Linked DNA regions of Arabidopsis thaliana. The protein of the gene in region 2 interacts with the protein of the main gene of each other region in a pairwise test. Each region holds a gene or a part of one and is shown on either strand. Other genes may lie near its edges. The genes, in order: ATG8F and AT2G35900.

The links.
Region 1: the proteins of AT2G35900 (region 2) and ATG8F interact in a two-hybrid assay, tested with the Arabidopsis thaliana proteins (one large-scale study listed by BioGRID).

What each region holds. Positions count from the first base shown.
Region 1 is NC_003075.7:9,305,767-9,310,614, forward strand, and holds ATG8F (Ubiquitin-like superfamily protein), read right to left. Parts: upstream 2,773-4,848; 5' UTR 2,580-2,772; exon of another isoform or gene 2,359-2,579; 5' UTR 2,348-2,358; coding exon 2,311-2,347; intron 2,217-2,310; coding exon 2,161-2,216; exon of another isoform or gene 1,724-2,160; coding exon of another isoform or gene 1,631-1,723; coding exon 1,578-1,630; intron 1,487-1,577; coding exon 1,368-1,486; intron 1,217-1,367; coding exon 1,116-1,216; 3' UTR 573-1,115; downstream 1-572. Other genes in the region: RGF6 (root meristem growth factor), read right to left, coding at 1-63. UniProt on the Arabidopsis thaliana protein: Ubiquitin-like modifier involved in autophagosomes formation. May mediate the delivery of the autophagosomes to the vacuole via the microtubule cytoskeleton.
Region 2 is NC_003071.7:15,069,095-15,073,425, forward strand, and holds AT2G35900 (Mal d 1-associated protein), read right to left. Parts: upstream 2,736-4,331; 5' UTR 2,447-2,735; coding exon 2,238-2,446; exon of another isoform or gene 1,959-2,237; coding exon of another isoform or gene 1,885-1,958; intron 1,479-1,884; coding exon 1,109-1,478; 3' UTR 778-1,108; downstream 1-777. Other genes in the region: CPK25 (calcium-dependent protein kinase 25), read right to left, coding at 1-42; AT2G35910 (RING/U-box superfamily protein), read right to left, coding at 4,131-4,331.

The DNA.
Region 1 (4,848 bases), on a different chromosome or scaffold from region 2:
AGAAGAGAAGAGGGAAGGAGAGTATTTGTAGGCAGAAGAGAGTAAAGAGAGTAAGACAAGCATTAAATACAGGTGGGGGGAGGGGTCCTTCATTATCATAACATGCTCTTGTTCCTCTTCTCTTTTATTTCTTTTTAATCTTCTCTCTTGTCTATTATTCAAATATATTTTACATTCAACATACATATCTATCGTATGTATATGGGTGTCTTGATCGGCCAAACCTTTTGTCTACTTGAGAGTCTTCGTGGGGTCATCATCTCCTGCATTCTCATTTTCCTTTCTTCCATTTGCTCACCTTATTCTCCGGTTCTTCACCTTTTTCATCCACGCCATTATTGTATGACCGACGTGTTTACTCTCTTAAGTCCTAATCGATCACCTTCTTATCACTACACTATTTGACATTGATTTCTTTGGACAAAACACTCACAAGTTATGAAAAGCTTTTACATTCAACTTTCACTTCAATGGTCCAAAATCCCAAAAACACAACCGCGTCTCTCATGTTCCACGTGACCGGTTGGAACCTTGAATTACAATCTTTGACGATCATAAATCGAGCTAAAACTGTGAACAAATAAATATATGAAACAAAAATCAATATTGAAAAGTGTAAGATGAGAAACAAGCCAGCATGGTCCGACCGTCTCCTCCTTCTCTCCGTCAACGACAATGTGGGACCTTTATAAGATCGTCGCCGGCCAACCTTCAACCGGTACCGACCATGTCTGCCACGTGGCACAGTTCCCTTGTGCTTGCACTTCTATTGAGTTTGGTGATATAACTTCTCTTCACTTAGGCTTTGCAATTTGGAACTGTCATGGCCCATGTGCCATAAGCGACGTGTTATGTCGGCTTATAGATTGAAGACATCAAAAAAAACACAACAAAGTCAAGAGGGAGATGTGATAGATTCACCTAAAGTAGGTTTTTAGATCCTTGAAAGAAGATTATATACATTATTTTATGTTTTCTGTACATATTAACGCCCGACCAAAGGTCCTTAGAGAATAAGTACATAGGTGGCTTGCTTGCTTAGTAATTAATAAGAAGATGAAATATTTGGTGAAAATAGAGAGGAGTAAAATGAAATATCCAGCAAGAGGTCTCTATTATGGAGATCCAAATCCAAATGTGTTTTCTCCGCTGTAAGTGACATAGAGGAACCCATCATCATCCTTTTTCTCTTCGTACACAGAAGACATGAGCGCACCTGCAAAGTTACCAGATCAGATCAGCCAAATATAAAGAATTTATAATCACCGGGGAACATATAAGTAGACGCCTTCTTATGCTCTTGTTACTTGTGTTAAAAGATAATGAAACTCCTGAGTCTTGAATACAGAGGAGATCTATCTGTTTACCTGCTGGAGGAAGAACATTGTCCACGAATATGAAGATAGCCTTTTCTGCACTCAATTTGATTCTTTTGCGAATGACATACACAAACTGCCCCACAGTCAGATCAGCCGGGACTAGGTACCTGCAAATTTGAAAAAAGCTTAGTTATCAATCACTATTATTAACAAGTCAGGTCCGAATGAAAAGGATACTGATGCCATTTATATGCTTACTTTTTCTTGTCGATGGTTGGTATATCACTCTTCTCAGCCTTCTCAACAATCACCTGGATCCCACAAAAATATAAATGCGTGGAAATCATCATCTCAAGTGTCATTTTTACCATGTGAATCATAAAGCACGTAGCCACATGAATCATGCAAATCTACTTATCTAAGCCGTAAGTACTCAGTAAGAATCGAGTTTCAGAAAGTCACGTTCCAAAAAATGACAACTAAATTCAAAGTCCTAATGTTGTTATAGTCACTATAACTCAATCAACTCCATGTAGTTGAAACAGTGGCAAACATATATCACAAGCATGAAGCTAATCAAACAATAATAACTTGATAACCATCCTTTAGTCGGGTAGGGTGTCCATTTAAAACCAGATGCTATCCCAATAAGTTCATTATATCCCAATAAGTTCATTACTACCATATTGCTGGGCCATAAACCACAACAACTTAACCTGCATAAACTCAGTCAAACACAAAAGATTGATCCGAACATAGAAAGGGAAACAATATGCTAATCACATATAACTTTAGAAATGTATGATCGATCAATGTATAAGAGAGACACTGAAAGTCTCACCGGAATCCTATCAGGATACTTCTCTCTAATCCTAGCAGCCTCTGCCCTTCTCTTCTCTGAAGATTTAGGAAACAGGATCATTAGATCAAAGCACAAGGTTTTGATTTCGAGGACCAAACAGTAAAGCAAGAACAAAGCTCAAATCCAAACCTAAGTCATGCTCTTGCTTGAACGAGCTTTTTGCCATTCCTTCCACGCCTACACACACATAACAAATAGGTGACACCAATCAGACAACCATCAAAACAAATTTAACACTCAAATCAAATCATCAATTCCCAAACTCTGGAACTCAGATTATCAAAATTCCCACAAATCTATCAGTCGATCATGTTAAAGACCCAACCTTTAAGTAATCTAAACGAAAGTACAGGATCGCAATCAAACCAAAAAAGAAGTTAAGAACTCAGTGATCAAACCTGTAGACTACAAAGAACGAAGCTTTTCTGCGATCAAACACTTCTCCAGAGCACAACGCTATCGTTGAAGATAACAACAACAATTAACGAAAAAATATGAAAGAAAAAGCAAATAAGCAACCTACAAAAATTCTGCAAAACATTAAAAAATTATGCGATAAGGTCAGAGATTCTCTACAGATGGTGTATGGTAACATCTAAACACTTCAGCTGACGTTGTATGCTTAATCTGTTCAGTGAGAATCTGACGGTAGATATTAGCTATTTACTGAAATAGGAATCTCAACCGTCCATTTTACTGAAGGTGTACGAGGTAACTGTCTACGTAGATATTGCCTCCAACAAAGGATAAAGAAGAACCGGATATGCTGGGATCACGTTTCTGCATACGATATGACACGTTTACCCCTAGAAAATGTGTGTTAGGTGAAGAGTTCGGAAGGGTAATAGTTGGAAATTGAGAATGTCGCTTATAAGCTTTGCCTCTTCTAACAAAATGTAGGGCCTAGTGCAGTAATGGGCCTTGCAAATAAACGGATGGAAATATGAAAACTAATAAATAAAGTATAGGCAGAAGTTTTTTTATGACTGTTATAGAGATCTGGAGATGTAGGTCTTGGTGTATGGACAGCTTAGGATTTCAAGCTTAGGCATTTCGAAATCAAGGGTTGAAAGCAATTACTGTATTTGAGAATATATCTTCAACACTGCACAAAACTCATTTTGTAATTTATTAAAATACCGGAATTGAGTGATTAATGTCAAAACCGAGAATTTACAGGATAACAAAGATAATTAATCAAAATGAATCTTTTATCAAAGTAAGATAAGTTTTCTAACAAGTTTTTTACTTATAGATATAAAATATTATAGTTGTGAAAAGACATAAACATTTTTAAAAGTTAAGATTGAGTTTTCTGAAGTTGAAAAAAAAATCAAAATTATTTTTTAATCATTATCCAAAATCATTACTTAATCCAAACCGATGCCCACCCTAATTATTTAACTATATTAATAAGGTTTGTAAGCAATAGTATATAAAAAGCTAAAAAAAATATAAGGGTATCTCACTACGTATGACACTTATCAAGTTTGTTAGAGCATATGGGGCACATATGTGGGAGTATGCACTTTTTCATGTTTATTTCACTGCACTTTTTCATGTTTATTTCACTGTTTCAAAACAATCAATACAATTATATCCTTACTCTCGTAACCTCAGGTCAAATAGCATGGTTAAGAAATGCCTTTGACGAATGATTTAGCTGTGCAGCAATATATAGTACTTTGAACTGCTCTAATGGGAGTGGATTGTGGATTTTCCTTTCTTCTGTTTCTTAATCTTGACATTAGATTTCCACTCCACCCCATCTTCGTCTAGTACCTTATAAGTCGTTCCAGCAATGTAGAAGGTGACTTTCTTCTCTTCAAGGTACCTCACAAAACGTTTAGCAAACTCAATGGGTGTTGAATGGCTTTTGTACTTTGATAAAAGACTCACAGCAATCTCCTAGTTAGGCTTGAAAATCAAAGTCTTGACAACTCGTTATGCCTCATCAATCACTTTTCCTCTAGCCAAGCCGTCTAAATATGTCCCCATTATTTCAATAGTTGGTTCTATCCATAGAGTCTTGACTATCCTTGCAAGAAGATAATGCCCATACTCAGTTTGTCGAGCATGTGTACAAGTTACCATCACGTTCCAAAATGTTGAGTGAGTTTTGATCAAGGTGGAAGGAATGTTCTCAAAGACTTGGATTGCTTTGAAGCATTCACTATTTGTGCCTAAGGTTGATATAAATGCATTCCACATACCTATACATGTAGCTCCAGATTTACCGCATTCATGAAAGAGTTTTTCTGTTAAGAAGAGTTTCAAACTCCAACTCTTAAGATTGGAGAGATATATTAGTCACATGGTAACTTTGTTAAGGAAAACAAAAACTCAAATATTTTTAAAATTTGTTAATCAAATAATTTTAAAATTGATTTCTTGTATAAAAGTATTGTTTTTTTGTGTATTTTAAATTATATTTTTATTTTTATTAAGTTATTATGAATCAAATATTTAAGAATTAAATTGAATTTTGATTTATACTTATATTCCAATCTTGTATATAAGTTAGTCAGATTGAAATATATGGTCGAAAATTGGTAAAAAATAATATTCACCATTATTTTGGTCATTAAGTTTTGACCACTTTTTGGTAAGATGTTTTCGACCACTATTCTCGGTCAAAAATGTCAACCGATCAAAATATTTCTACCA
Region 2 (4,331 bases):
ATCCACACAATTGTTGACCATATGAACACATACATTCCCCATTTCTACAATCTAAATCTCCCAATCAACTATATGCTATACAATAATCTACACGAGAAACGTATACAGAGAATCGTAAAAAGATAGAGAGGAAAAGTCCCTTTTCTTCCTTTTTTTCCTTCCTTTTCACGCAAGAGAAAAAACCCTTAACATGATCTCATAGAGACAAAGATCTCTCCTATCTAACAACATAACCACTTCCATGAAGAAAGACAGATAAATCTCCCACAAATGAATTCTGATCTAAGGGAGAAAGATCTCGAGGTCGGCTGAATAATTTAATCAATTCTCACAAAATGCTACGAATCATCTCCTTTGGTAAGAAACACACACAATGCACAAAATGAAAAACGAAGAATAAGAAAATGGGAATTGAGAAGGAAGATGATTTGACGAAAAGGAATTGGGTCTCACGTCGTGACTGAATTTTTTGGGGGGATTTATTAGGGTTTTTGGCCTTTCTCAATTAAATAAACTTGTTTGATTCTCTCCTCTAACATATGACTCTGTGAGGTTGTGTTAGAGATTATTTAGTGTCTGTGTGAATACATTGATTAACAATTTGGTCCCTTTAAACTCCGTAATTAATTAATTGTTAAGAAAAATCTTCAAACTCAATTGAAGACCAAAAAAGTATATTTCTTGTTATTTTCTAAATTACTCCATGCCACAAAATGGTAACCAATCTTTCAAAAAACGTAAGGTTAGATTTCAAATCTTTAATTCCACTCAAGCATATCACTCTACTTTGACCATTATTATTTTATTACCATTTAATGAAAGGTACGAATTGTATAAGGTAACATGTTTAAAAATGTAAAATAACTTTTAAGACAAAGTGATAATAAAAGACACAAGCATAACACATAGTAATATAGTAGTATGATGATATTGATAGATAGTAGTAGCACCCACTCGGAAAAACGTGCAAGCCGCTAACATTAGACTACAATCCCCACGCTTCTTAGAAAGTCACATTACATTTTTAAGATTATATATGCCAAAAGCTAGAACAAGACGACCTTTGTGAAAAAAAAAAAGAAGAAGAAGAAGAAGCAGACGACCTTTCTCAAACGTCCTTGGCCAAGCCCGAGAGATCAATCTCGCCAGAGGAGTGTGGTCGTGTAGGGGCAGTTTCGTCATTGCGGTGCTCCTCTACCTTGGGATGGTTTTCAATGGGTATCCCTCCTCTCCTGGTGCTTGGGTGATGGTCTCCCATGATATCAAATAAGCTGCTTGTCATCTCTTCAGCCGCATCAAAGAAACTCTTCATTCCGCTCAAGAAATGGCGTTCGATGGCGTCTACATCTCTGCGGAGTCCCGGGAAGTTTAGCGGGTTTTTATCCTCAAACTGATTCGGAAGAGCGGATCTTCCCACCATCTGGTCTGTCACATCCTCTTCTGTGTGCTCTGTGTTGGATTGAACGACTTCAGAGGGCCTAAAGCAGATACAGAACCAAGGGTAAATCGATTTAGTGATTGTCTAGAGGCGCGAAAGGTAACAAACAATCAAGGTGCTTGAACATTTTAATGGCTCAATCTCAAAATCACACATGAAAGGGCGAGAAAGAAAACAAGAGTTGTCTTCCAAAGGAAAGCATTACATTTAACATGGAATAACTCATATCACAGGTAGCAAACAAACAAACATGAAGCTCGCCGAATACACAGAAACTGTGATGTGATACTCTATGCATCTTCTTCTTATATGAGAATACTCCACTTACTTAACCCAAAAAAGACTAACCAGCAGTTGCTCCACTTACTTAACCAAAAAAAACATGCAAGTTATAACACTACAAAGATGATAAAATCATAAGAACTTTTATAATGAAACATTTTTACCATAATGGTTCAGTGATAGAGAGTCCTTTCGAAGAAAACAACATCAAACCACAAGAAGTAAGCAATGTAACCATTCCAGTGCATAAACACAACTATCTTTCTGCAATTCATATTAGTAAGCTTAGCATCAGAAACACAAATTTAGAGTCAATCTTTAACTATTGGCTTTTAGCTTTTACATAACCACAAAAACGTCAAAATTTTTTAACTCAGAGCTCAAAACAAACACACTTCATCTATTTGATCTATAAACCCTGGAGATTTGTTTTCCACATGTAATTCAAAATCTAAAAGCTTATCTTTTGCTTAATTAGGGTTATGATCAAAAGCGAGAAAATATCCGAAACACTCACTTCCCAAAACAGTGGCGGAGGATTTCTTCTGTTTTGTCGCATTTCCTGACGAACTTTCCAGGCTCGACCTCCTCCGTCTTGCACTGAGATCTTACCACCGTGGTCGTGGAGCAATTTTCGGCGGCGGCGGCAGAATCTCCGAGCGGTTTATCGGTGAGATCAGCACCGGCTTTAGAGGCGGATGAATCGTCAATCCAGATCCAACCCATAGCTAAAATTCGTGATGAGATTCTTCTTCTGTGTGTGTGTGGATTCTTCCTCAAGAAAAACTCGAAGCGTCCGATTTGTTTTTTTATACTCAGGCCTCTTTGTTCGTGAAACCGACTTACCGGCGCGTGAGGATTTTCTTTTTCTTCACGGGTCGGAAAAAAGTTTGAACCAAATCAAACCAAACTAAAGTAGTCAAATTTCTCAATCTGAACCGGAAGACCGCTGGTTAATAGATTTTTAACGTATGATGCGTCTCAAATTGTTTGATTTATTGTATTCGCGTTTAAGATCCACTCATTTTATTACCTTGTATCTTATTCTTTTTTTTCATAGATACTTTCTTAGTAGATCAGAGTTGTAACTAAAATTTTGAGAAATACTTAGACATTCACCATTACATAATAAAAATGTTTAGAATGTATCAAATATTTAGAATTTATTCAGTATTTAATTTTCTTATTAAGGAAAATAGATTATATAAAAAGTAATAAAAGTTGAAGTTAAAAGATGGGAAAGAAAGATTTTTTGGGTAAATTTTTTGACATTGCTGTGAACAATTGGGTCTTAGTCAATTTCTCAGGGCCCAATATGAAAGTATTCATCATTAATTCTGGCAGATGGGCCAAAATATTAAGAAGCCTAGCACAATAAGTCTTAAATCAGCATCATTGCTTCAAGTTGAAGCCTTCGACGTTACCGATGATGGTTTGAACGACCTCGGTTTGTCTTGTTATGAAAGGAATACAGAGCCGAGAGAAAGAGCATATCACTTTTGAGTGTTTGTAAAAATGAATTTGAGCATATCTTTGGTTATTTCTGGTTATTGAGTCTGTTGACTATAAACGATTGTAACAAACTCTTTGAATCATTAATGAGAAATTGAGCTTTTCACCATGTTTTCTCTCTCGATCATGGTTCCTAATATTTGGAGTAATATTTTTGTTTACCGAATACTTTAAATAAGATAAGAGTAGTTTTATCATGGTCAACTCATTTTTATCATCTCACCTACTTAATTTCAGCCAGCTTGAGATTGGAGACAAAAACAATCGTTTTCAAGTGTTTTTTTTCTTCTTGATTTATATCTCTTAATCAACGTTTTATATCTTTTCTTAAGGTCCTCATAAAAGTCTTTTTCTCATATCATCATATGTATTGGCTAACGGTTTACCCAATAAGACAAATACGCTGTTAAATATCTGGTTTTGTTTAACAAAAAAAAAATTGCTAATAAATAAACCATATGATTGAGAAAGATTGTCAGACTGACTATCAAAAACGCCTAATTGATTCGATCCCATTATCTTAAGTTCCAACTTGTCCTCAAACTCTTTTTTTTTTCTTTGACGTCTCAATATTTAAAATGATCTCTCAAAGTTCAATACAAGCCAAGAAACATATTTGCCAATATTCAAAACGACTTTAATTACTCTTTCTTGGTACGTATGTATAGATAAACTCGTTCACATTGCTTAAAGAAAAACTAATCCAACAAAATTGTGAAAAATTCATCCTTAACCTCCTTTCTCTTACAAATCTTCGGCTTCGAAGAGTGTATATACAGTGATCAGTTAGTGACCAAAAATAACAAATTTACAAGGAATTAAAAGAAGAATTAATAACGAGTTTAAGCCGGAGATTAGTCAAGATTTCGATTTCTTCGGTTATAAAATAAACAAATCACTAGGACATTCTTGTGGCGGCCACGGAGGAGGCTAAAGGGACAACCTCGGCGAGGGGAGTAGACAGAGGAGTTGGAAGCGGCGAAGTCCGACACACAGGACACGTAGGATTGAGTCTAAGCCACGTGTCGATACATTTAAGGTGGAAGAGATGGTTGCAATCTGGTAGCTGCCGCAGCAGATGTTTTCCCTTGTAGTCTCC